Linked DNA regions of Arabidopsis thaliana. The protein of the gene in region 1 interacts with the protein of each later gene in a biochemical or structural test. Each region holds a gene or a part of one and is shown on either strand. Other genes may lie near its edges.

Region 1 (5,712 bases):
TCTCTTGTACATGAAGCAAACATGTGAATCAACACATTAACAAGCAGCACTCAACAACAACAACAACAACAAGACATCAGAATTATTACAACTTAGAATCCTGCAGTTTTGCTAGCTACCCCAAGAGGAGATGAGATACCTGAATTGAACTCTGGTTGCTGACCTTCGATAGCAAACTCCTACAGCTTGAAACTGAAACATGGTAACAGAGGCTTCTCATTGCCAATGTAGACTTAAATATGTGTTGCTTTGCATCATTTATGGACCAGAAAGTGGGATAGTTATACGTGTTGGACATAGAAGTCACAAATGGCTGACCACTCCCTTGAATTAAGAAACACAAGAATAAAATATCACTGAAATCACCAGAATAGTAGGAGATGGTAGAACAACTCCACTACGTAGTCATCATCCCACAGAAGAAAGTAGCTTGGAAGAGGAATGTTTTGGTTAGCTTGAAAACTACACCATCAGACAGAAAAATCAGTAAGTAGGATCATATCTCAACCCCATTGTGGAATATGAACCAAATATGCAAGTCAATTTCTTCTACAGACAGTGGATTGGATGAGAACATTGTTTATATATAGTCTTAACATTATTTTATCATTAGTTCATTTTGAAACTTCCATCAGTCAGATTCCCTATATATATAGTAAGTTCATAAAACTAAGAAGAAAAAGCCTATATATCTTTCATATCATTGTGGACCAACAAACTTAAACAAAACCAAAACATCAACGGATCAAGTTCAAGAAACATATATAGCACATACTTAAGATACTTATCTATCTTTCCCATCGCCCAAGTCGAACTCTAATATCGGTTACAAGAAAAAAAACCTAGCATGATTCATAAGAGATAAAAGAAATATCATCCATACGAAACAAAAGAAGGGAAGATTTATGTATAGGGTTTGATTCAAGTGAATGACCATAGAGAAACATTTTCCTAGAAATCACAAAACCCAAAATTAGACCTACCCACACCAAAATCAAACTTCCGAAATAACCGTCCTTCACCGATGTTAGCATGAAACCTAAATTGAATCGGGTGAGTTAGGAGTTAGGACCAATAGCCGATGTTAGGGTTTGACAATGAGTAGGGAGATAGTGAATCGTGTCTTCCTGTAGGTAAAGAAACCGAGATCTAGGGTTTGGTCGAGATTCGAATGTTCTCGTTCTTCCTTTGAACCAGAATGGTCGTGTACACGGTTAAATGGCGTGATAAGCACGCTAACACTTCAGGAGTAATCTGTTCCTATCGCACCTCTTGTCACAGACGGTGAACCCACTGGAAAACCTAAGTGATTTTCTTAATTTTCCCGCTATTTTTGGGATTTCTCAAATTCGCCTCCAATTTTATTTACGAAAATCAAATTTTATCTCGAGCAGTAAATCTAGGGCGTTCGAGTGTCCACTAGTTTTTCTCTTTCTTTATAATATATCTAAGCTTGAAAAATAAATATTAATCAAAATGTATGAATGTTTACTTTATAGAACAATTAATGTATGATTTTTGTAATTGCAATTTGTTTTTTTTTTTTGTGACTTGTGAGTGTGCTTGGCATTGGCATGTTAAACAATTTTGTTGTCAAGTCTTTTATGATGAGAAAGATACATAAGAAACATAATCCCATAATTCCAATTTTTAAAAAATGGAGTTTGTATTTTAATAAATACTTTTGAAAAGATTATTTTTGTTGTGGTATTTTTGAAAACCGGTCAATAAAAATGATATTTGATATTTCTTTCATTATTTTATTTAAATTTAACGGATGATCGCTAATTTACACCAACCGCTTGTTCAGGGTTAGACCGGTTCAAACCGGACAATTCATAGATTTAAACCGAAACGCTAATTACATAAATAAGCTGGGAAACCTACGGAGAGAGAGTTGTCTGAGAGAAAAGGAAAGCGATCGAGAAAGACGTAATTTGATCATCGGAGTAAAAGATATTGTTCGACAGTGGGACTCCCGGGAACGAAGATGGCGATGGCATCATTCGGGCAGCTAAATCTCGAGGAACCTCCTCCAATCTGGGGATCTCGCAGCGTTGATTGCTTTGAGAAGCTCGAACAAATTGGTGAAGGCACTTACGGGTTATTCACTTTCTCTTTAATTCAATTTCACTCTTTGGTTATTCAAAAGGCTTAATTTTTACTTGGGATTGATAAATTATTGGCCTTTGAAGCGATTTTTGATTGTATGATTAGGCTTTTACAATGCCTATGTTGTGTTGCTTTTAGGAGATTTGATTGTTGTTGTTTTGCTGTTGCAGTCAAGTTTACATGGCTAAAGAAATCAAAACTGGTGAAATTGTGGCTCTCAAAAAGATACGTATGGACAATGAAAGAGAAGGGGTATGTGAATTCTTCACTTTATATGGACTATACGTTTTTTTTATGATGCTCACTATGTTTAGAACAGATGCAAGTTTTTGTTTACGATAGGAATTGTAACCCATTGTTTACAACTGGTATGATGCAGTTTCCTATAACAGCTATTAGAGAGATAAAGATTCTGAAGAAGCTTCATCATGAAAATGTCATTCAGCTGAAAGAGATTGTGACTTCACCAGGTTTGTTTAAGGAACACATATGTTGCACTGAATTAAGTTAGCTATTTCTATATAAAGAGGTCTAAACATTTTGTGTTTTGAATGGTTCTGTCTCTTAAAAGGTCGGGACAGGGATGACCAAGGAAAGCCAGGTTTGTGAAAAAAAGTGATTTCAACTACTGTCTTAGTTTCTGCTTATTGAGGATTTCTTCTTAACTAAAGGTTGTGGCTTTTTCACCTATAGATAATAACAAATACAAGGGTGGCATCTACATGGTTTTTGAGTACATGGATCATGATTTGACTGGACTAGCAGATCGTCCTGGACTGAGATTTACTGTTCCTCAAATTAAGGTATTGCACGGCTAAATAGCTCGTTACTTCTATTAGCCTTTTTCATACTTATTGTTCAACTTTATTCTAACACTCAATCCATTTAAAAGTGTTACATGAAGCAATTGCTTACCGGGCTTCACTATTGTCATGTGAATCAAGTGCTTCACCGTGATATAAAAGGTGATTTTCCTTAATACAATGTTGATGTTTGGTTATCACCTTTACTTGCATATTAACCTAGATTTTGATCCAGGCTCAAATCTCCTTATCGACAATGAGGGAAATTTAAAGCTGGCTGATTTTGGGCTTGCACGGTCGTATTCTCATGATCATACTGGAAATCTTACAAATCGTGTCATCACATTGTGGTATAGGTAAGCCTAAAAATCGTCATTCAAAGTTTACATGATATACATAGATAGTCTTAATATTATGGTCTTTGCTAATTCATTGTTATTACTACTTTGCTGATTTACATATATTGCGGCAGGCCCCCTGAATTACTACTTGGGGCTACAAAATATGGCCCAGCAATTGACATGTGGTCGGTTGGTTGCATATTTGCCGAACTTTTGCATGCAAAACCAATCTTACCTGGGAAAAATGAGGTCAGCGTTTCATCTTTGCTGAAAGCGCAGTTCTTTTGAAAATTTCAGATGTTAAGACAGTGTGCTTTCGTGCCACTAATAATATAAGAATCTACATGGTCTCCTGGTTGCATTGTGATATCATTGGAGTAGAAAACCTAAGGGATTAACTAGAATTAGATTTATCGGCACTTTTATTTTGGGACCGTGGGAGGCTGGTTAGGTTCTTTGCATTATATCATGTATACAAAATGGTATAGACGCAGTTATGTATACATGTTATTGATAATCTCAAAAAAATATGTGCCATCTCCTACATTGTTTCAGCAAGAACAATTGAACAAGATATTTGAGCTTTGTGGATCACCTGATGAAAAACTTTGGCCTGGGGTTTCCAAGATGCCTTGGTTCAACAATTTCAAGCCTGCACGGCCCTTGAAGAGGCGTGTAAGAGAGTTCTTCAGACAGTAAGTAAAGTAAACCATTATATATCTCCGCTTTACTTTGATCAGAAGATTTCATTTGGCTTTACTTTCTCTTCTGTACAGCTTTGATCGGCATGCTCTTGAATTACTGGAGAAAATGTTGGTGCTTGATCCAGCACAGGTATCAGAGACCTTTATTCTTATTCCCAGCGAATTATCTTTCTTAAAAACTGTCTTTTACTGTTTTTTGGATGAAACATACCTCTTCAAGTCAGGACATTGTTAACACCATTTAGATATTTAATGTCTCCTTTTTTTCTTTCCCCTGTGTAGAGAATATCGGCAAAGGATGCTCTTGATGCCGAGTACTTTTGGACTGATCCGTTGCCATGTGACCCAAAGAGGTATTTGTATATTCTGATTTTCTCTGACAAAGTTCATGAAACTCATCTGGTGCATCATCATCTAGCTTATTAGACAGGCGATCGTGGGGAATTTTTTCTGACTAAATTAAGGTTTCATTTCAACAGTCTGCCCACATATGAATCATCACATGAGTTCCAGACAAAGAAAAAGCGGCAACAGCAGCGCCAAAACGAGGAAGCAGCAAAAAGACAGAAACTGCAGCATCCACCGCTGCAGCACTCTCGCTTACCCCCATTACAACATGGTGGACAGTCTCATGCTGCTCCACATTGGCCTGCAGGTCCAAACCATCCCACTAACAACGCACCACCACAAGTACCTGCTGGACCCAGCCACAACTTCTATGGGAAGCCGCGTGGTCCACCTGGTCCAAACCGCTACCCTCCTAGCGGAAACCAGAGCGGGGGTTATAATCAAAGCCGAGGAGGTTACAGCAGTGGATCATATCCTCCACAAGGACGTGGAGCTCCTTATGTGGCTGGTCCTAGAGGGCCTAGTGGTGGCCCGTACGGGGTTGGACCTCCTAACTACACACAAGGTGGTCAGTATGGTGGCTCTGGTAGCTCGGGAAGAGGGCAGAATCAGAGAAACCAGCAATACGGATGGCAACAGTAAAGAGCTCTAATGATTTGTTGATCTGATATCTTACTCTTACATTTAATGTGATACTAGTAATAAACTAATAATAGATTAATATGAGAAACTGAATCTCTTTCTTTTCCCAATTCTTTCCAAGTCTTATTTCGTTATCCAAACATTTTCTAGTAATGTCAAGATGGAGACTGACAGTGTGTGATGTAAAAGAAATGAGCAATGAGAACAGAGCAAAACATGCCATTCTTCTTCATAAGCTTTCAGACGTCTTTATTACACAACTCTATATTGAAAACAAAACCTCTCCAAAGAAAAACTAGAGTCTCCAAGTGTAATCACCTTTCCTCATACCAGGATTTATTTGTTCCATAAAATTATGAATCTTTCGTTTAAAAATCTTCCTATTCTGCTGCTGTGTATATATTTAAAACTGATTAACAAGCACAACCACCTCGTTGTTGCTCCCCTTGAGCCGAATTGCTCGAAGTCTTTAGATTCACATCAACCATATCCTCTTGTTTCGTTGAAGAAAGTGTTTCCATTCCTGGTAACGCTGCTGCAATCTTGCGAAAAAGTGGCTGCAAGTTTCCAAAACACCAGAACAAGAAAGCCAAGCGTTATTCCAAGAAATCTCAAGATCTTAAACGAGTAATGAGAGCATAGTTGCATCTCTCACCTTGATGTTAAATCCTGCTTTTGCACTGGTCTCAATGAATATTACTCCATAATCACGAGCTTTGTTATCACCTTCCTCAATCGACACTTGCCTGTCAAATGGAAATA
Region 2 (5,448 bases), on another chromosome or scaffold:
AGTATCAGCAAGTTTGATTATTAACGCTTGAAAGCTAGTCGAATGTAATAATAAATCGACATTTTGATATCTTACGAATATTAATGCCTCAGGTGACGTATCTCCGTTGTGGGGGTATGATCCTCTGCACCGCGATCAATCATTGCCTCTGCGACGGCATTGGCACATCGCAGTTCCTACATGCATGGGCCCATGCGACCACTAGCCAAGCTCATCTTCCGACCCGACCATTCCACTCCCGTCACGTATTAGATCCGCGAAACCCTCCACGTGTCACACACTCACATCCCGGTTTCACCCGAACCACCACCGTAGACAAAAGCTCCACCTTCGACATTTCCAAGTATTTACAGTCCCAACCATTGGCTCCTGCCACCTTAACCTTCAACCAATCTCATCTCCTACGCTTAAAGAAAACCTGCGCTCCTTCGCTAAAATGCACCACGTTCGAGGCACTAGCGGCTAACACTTGGCGCTCGTGGGCTCAATCTCTAGATTTACCAATGACCATGCTGGTCAAACTCTTATTCTCAGTCAATATGAGAAAACGACTAACTCCAGAACTTCCCCAAGGGTATTACGGTAATGGATTCGTACTAGCTTGCGCCGAGAGCAAGGTACAAGACCTAGTCAATGGTAATATTTACCACGCTGTAAAATCGATACAAGAGGCAAAATCAAGAATTACCGACGAATATGTAAGATCAACGATAGATTTACTGGAGGATAAAACGGTGAAAACGGACGTCTCGTGCAGTTTGGTCATTTCACAATGGGCGAAATTGGGATTAGAGGAGTTGGACTTGGGAGGAGGAAAGCCAATGTATATGGGTCCTTTGACGAGTGATATCTACTGTTTATTTTTACCCGTGGCGAGCGATAATGATGCCATCAGAGTTCAAATGTCCCTGCCGGAGGAAGTTGTGAAGAGACTAGAGTATTGCATGGTTAAGTTTTTAGACGGAAAAGATAACGAAGATGAGAATTCTCGTGCATGCTAAAGTTTCTATATACATTTCAGTGGTCTATAATAAAAGAGTACTTCACTTGTCGATTTTTGATTGGTTTTAATATGTTTTATGTACGAAATATTTTCTTATATATAAGTTTGAAAACAGAAAATAGACATATGAACCCCAATAAAGACTAATTAAAGAGAGTACTAGAGTAGCTCACTTGTCGATTTTTGATTGGTTTTTATTAAACACAAAATGGATAATATGATGAGTTTAAAAACAGTCTTTCTCCATGCTAGTATGATAATGATATTGACTGATCGATGAATTCAAAGGAATACATGTTTTAGTTTAGTTCATCAACTTTAGCTTAACGTACGGTTCTTAAATCGAAGCCAAAATTCAAATAAATATTAATATATATCCAATTTTGGTAATCTCTATCAGATTATAGCTTTATGAAAATAAAAAATTTAACAATGATTCAAATTGCTAAATGCTAATATATTGGTTAAAGTGTTATTTTCTGCAAAAGTTCAAATAATGTTAAGACTATTTCTATGTAGTTTGATCATTTCAATCTCAACCACATAAAAAACGACACTATATATTAATTCGAAGCCCATATCCATTATCGAATATGATGAATTGCTTACAATCATAAAGTCAAAGCCCATATCCATTTTATAAATAGAGTTAGATATTTATCTTTTTTAGGTCGCAACACCGCAATAGATCTTTTCCCCAAGTTTCAGACAAACATAAAGCAGCAGAGAAAATTTTCAAGTTTCAAAGAGCTTTTCCCTCACCAAGCAAAATTTGGGTTAGTGAAATCTCAAATTTTGCTATCCAATTTCGTTAATCCTTCCTTTGTTAGAGTCGATTTCGTTGTCCTCTGATCTCATCTCTTGAATCAATCGGCTCCTCTAATCCTTTACCTCCTTCACGTTTCGTAATTATTCGATCTGTTTTCTGCAGATTTCGTGAATTTAATTTAATCGCCTCCTCGATTTTAATATTTCGTGATTTGATAGAATCTGTTGGAAATTTCTTGATGTTGCGATAATGGGTCAAAAAATATATATGTGAAGCTGAGATCAGATTTGTGTCGTATTATGTCCCAAAGCTATTTAACAATGAATCTGTGTTTGCTATTTGCAGATATTTGTCAGCAAAATCTGCAGCTAAATTGGGACTTGTCTTGTTAGTTCAAAGATTGAAACTTTTTTGGTTAATTGTTTGGCGGAAGAAGATTTACAATGGGAGAGGAGCATCCGAGAAAGCGGTCTAGACAACATTTTGAAGCGGAGGCGAGAAACGTATCGTTGTTTGAATCCCCTCAATGCGAAACCTCCAAGTGGTATTTCAGCAGGGAAGAGATTGAGCGTTTCTCTCCATCCAGAAAAGATGGGATTGATCTTGTGAAGGAGTCGTTTTTACGGTCTTCGTATTGCACCTTCCTGCAAAGACTTGGCATGAAGCTTCATGTGTAAGCTCACCATAGTATTACTTTGTTGTTTTGTCATCTAGGAAGAAATAGTGTTTGTTCTTTGGTTGTTTGCTAGAAAATCTACTTATGACGTCTCCTTGTCTTCTGATATTTCTTGGTACGTTTTTTTAGCTAAAGAGGGTGCCTAATGCATGACAATGGATAGCCTAACTGTTGAATTTTGTCGTAGGGCCACTGTGGGAGGTGGTCTGGAGGTTCTCCAACTATAGATTCTCGATTTTGTCTACATTTATATCTCGTGAATGGAAGAATTATGTAATAATAGTCAGAATTTGGTGTCCATGCATCATATATTGACTCACTTGTCACTTCTCATCGGCAATGGGAGGATTTGCATCTGTTGTGAATTTGCTTGGGAGCTGTTCACCTGTTTAGACATGACCTTCTGATCTATATGTCTTTGTATTTGTAATTCTCTGCTGGGTTATCAAAACCCTCAGCTGTGTTCCTACCTTTACCAACTGATGTTCTTAGTTTTCTGAGCAAGTGCACGTCTCTCTCCGGCCTACTTTTTTGAATCATCTAATCATAGGTACTGGTGTATTTTTGTCTTCTGCATTACTCACGTGTGTCGGAAAAGTTTATAAATGCTGGTTTCGGTGAAAGTGATGTCTAGCTATTAGTTGCTGCCCGAGATATCATAACATTGACCTTGTTCATGTTAAAGGTTTTTGACAATCTCATTGCTTCAGGTCCCAGGTTACAATATCATGTGCAATGGTGATGTGCCACAGGTTTTACATGCGCCAATCTCATGCAAAAAATGACTGGCAGGTAAGAATGCTTTAGTATTCATATGGTTCATCAATTGCGTTCATTGGAGCTGACATGTAAATATTAATGATTGAATAGTCTGCAACAGATATATTGATTCTTCTTACAAAATTTGGGTTATGAGCAATATAATGTTGATGAAAACAAGTCAAAAGTGGTTATTTAATAGTTATTCAGTCTTCCTGGTTAATTAGAAGTGTATATGATTGCTGCTAAATATTTCCACTTCGGTTTCTCACTCGGTGATTTTGCAGACAATAGCGACTTCCAGTCTGTTCCTCGCTTGCAAAGCTGAAGATGAGCCATGTCAACTGTCCAGTGTCGTTGTAGCGTCTTATGAAATAATTTATGAGTGGGATCCTTCTGCCTCAATTAGAATCCATCAAACTGTAAGTGTATACATACATCTATGTATTGGTAAATTCGCACTGTGCATTTTGCTAATTTATTACATGTTGCTCTGCCTGTAGGAGTGTTATCATGAATTTAAAGAAATTATTTTGTCCGGGGAAAGTCTTCTGCTGAGCACAAGTGCTTTCCATTTAGACATTGAACTTCCCTACAAACCTCTGGCTGCGGCTTTGAATAGACTGAACGCTTGGCCTGACCTTGCAACAGCTGCATGGAATTTTGTGCATGACTGGTAAAGACCCTTGTTAATAATATCTGCCCGATTTTTCCCCTACATTGAGTTTGAATCTTATTATGCATTGTGTGTAGGATTCGAACCACACTATGCTTGCAGTACAAACCCCATGTTATTGCAACAGCCACTGTGCACCTAGCTGCTACGTTTCAGAATGCGAAAGTAGGCAGCAGGAGAGATTGGTGGTTGGAGTTTGGAGTTACAACTAAGCTATTAAAAGGTTTGCTGTTCAAACTCTATTTTTTCCTCTGGTATTATTGCAGTCATTTGATCAAGTGAGATGTAGTGTTTCTATAATGTTAGCGCTAGGAATATGTGGTACTGTAGCTCCAGCTCATGTTAGGTTCTTACCCTGTGCACATATTGAGTTTGGAATTAGGTAGTGGCCTGAACGAAGAGATGTGCTGCTATTGATTTTAGCGGTTGATTAAAAATAATTGGATGTTTTCATTATGGTGACAGAGGTAATCCAGGAGATGTGCACACTGATAGAAGTGGACAGAAGGAGGAATATGCCACCTCCACCTCCACCTCCAAGAAGAGAGTTAAGTTGGGCAATACCTGCAGCCGTAAAGCCGGTCCATATGGCTAGAGCTTATCCGTTTCACAGCTACCCTTTGCAGTCCTATAGACAGGCTGGCATCTGGTGAGCCATTGTTGAGCAGCATGAAGATGTAATCTCTCTTAGAGTCTTGAGTTGGTTTAGCAATAAAAGATTTCCGTAGAGACTCATGAGAGAGGCAGTGTAGCATTATATAGAGATCCGAGTGAGGTGCTTCTGTCTAAGTTAAGCGTCTCATGTATGACCAAAGTGGATTCTCTCGAGATTCTTGGTCTCTGTTCTCGATAGAGAGAGATTATGTATAGAAGTGTCCCATTCACATGTTATAATACTAGCTGACTTTATATCGTTTGTATATCTGGAATCTATGTTTTTGGTTTCTTTAAAAAGTTTAAAGTTGTTTTGATTTTGACTAATTCTCTCATTGTTAAGTAATTTGGTTTTTGATGAAGTGCTATTAGGTCTGTGTTGAGTTGAGACTTGAGACGAACACAATCATCATATGATCAAGCTTATACCGATCGGATAAGTAATTAACCGGTTCAATTAACTACACCTAGCTTATACCGATCGTATAAACCGGTCAAGAACCAAAACCGCTTGGTTTCCATTCTAGACCAAACCGGATTCTAGTTTCCATTATTATTATCTTTTTTATCGGATTAAAAATATAAATCCTTATGTCAGGAGATCCCATTCTCTGTCTCTCTGTCTTTCTCCCCCAACTCGCGAACAAAGCAAACCCTAGATCATCCATCGGCGAGTGAGACGGCAGCTCCTCGTCGGTAATTCCTTCCACCGGCGGCGACCACTCACCCTCAGATCTCTCAATCCCACTCATCTCTGTAACATTCTGTACGCTTTCTCTCTCTCTTTCTTCGCTTTTGTGATCTATTACGGCTCGGTCTCTGTGCCTCCCAGCTCTATTTTGGAGCACTGCTTCGTCTCTGTGTTTATTTGGCTCCTTTGTGTGTTTCTCTATCTCTGCTTTTCTTTTGTA

Evidence for each region. Proteins that work in one complex are often made in the same cells at the same time.
Region 2: the proteins of CDKC;1 (region 1) and CYCT1;3 form a complex in vitro, tested with the Arabidopsis thaliana proteins (one study listed by BioGRID).

The regions. Positions count from the first base shown.
Region 1 is NC_003076.8:3,220,953-3,226,664, reverse strand, and holds CDKC;1 (cyclin-dependent kinase C;1), read left to right. Parts: upstream 1-1,876; 5' UTR 1,877-1,990; coding exon 1,991-2,103; intron 2,104-2,282; coding exon 2,283-2,364; intron 2,365-2,491; coding exon 2,492-2,582; intron 2,583-2,683; coding exon 2,684-2,713; intron 2,714-2,805; coding exon 2,806-2,915; intron 2,916-3,004; coding exon 3,005-3,077; intron 3,078-3,150; coding exon 3,151-3,271; intron 3,272-3,387; coding exon 3,388-3,505; intron 3,506-3,811; coding exon 3,812-3,951; intron 3,952-4,032; coding exon 4,033-4,090; intron 4,091-4,242; coding exon 4,243-4,313; intron 4,314-4,439; coding exon 4,440-4,950; 3' UTR 4,951-5,172; downstream 5,173-5,712. Other genes in the region: RABH1e (RAB GTPase homolog H1E), read right to left, coding at 5,364-5,507, 5,606-5,696.
Region 2 is NC_003070.9:9,609,432-9,614,879, forward strand, and holds CYCT1;3 (cyclin T 1;3), read left to right. Parts: upstream 1-1,621; 5' UTR 1,622-1,779; intron 1,780-2,048; exon of another isoform or gene 2,049-2,117; 5' UTR 2,118-2,215; coding exon 2,216-2,445; exon of another isoform or gene 2,446-3,158; coding exon 3,159-3,240; intron 3,241-3,494; coding exon 3,495-3,629; intron 3,630-3,710; coding exon 3,711-3,883; intron 3,884-3,960; coding exon 3,961-4,106; intron 4,107-4,189; coding exon of another isoform or gene 4,190-4,269; exon of another isoform or gene 4,270-4,348; coding exon 4,349-4,536; 3' UTR 4,537-4,905; downstream 4,906-5,448. Other genes in the region: AT1G27620 (HXXXD-type acyl-transferase family protein), read left to right, coding at 93-1,001; AT1G27640 (uncharacterized protein), read right to left, coding at 5,032-5,448.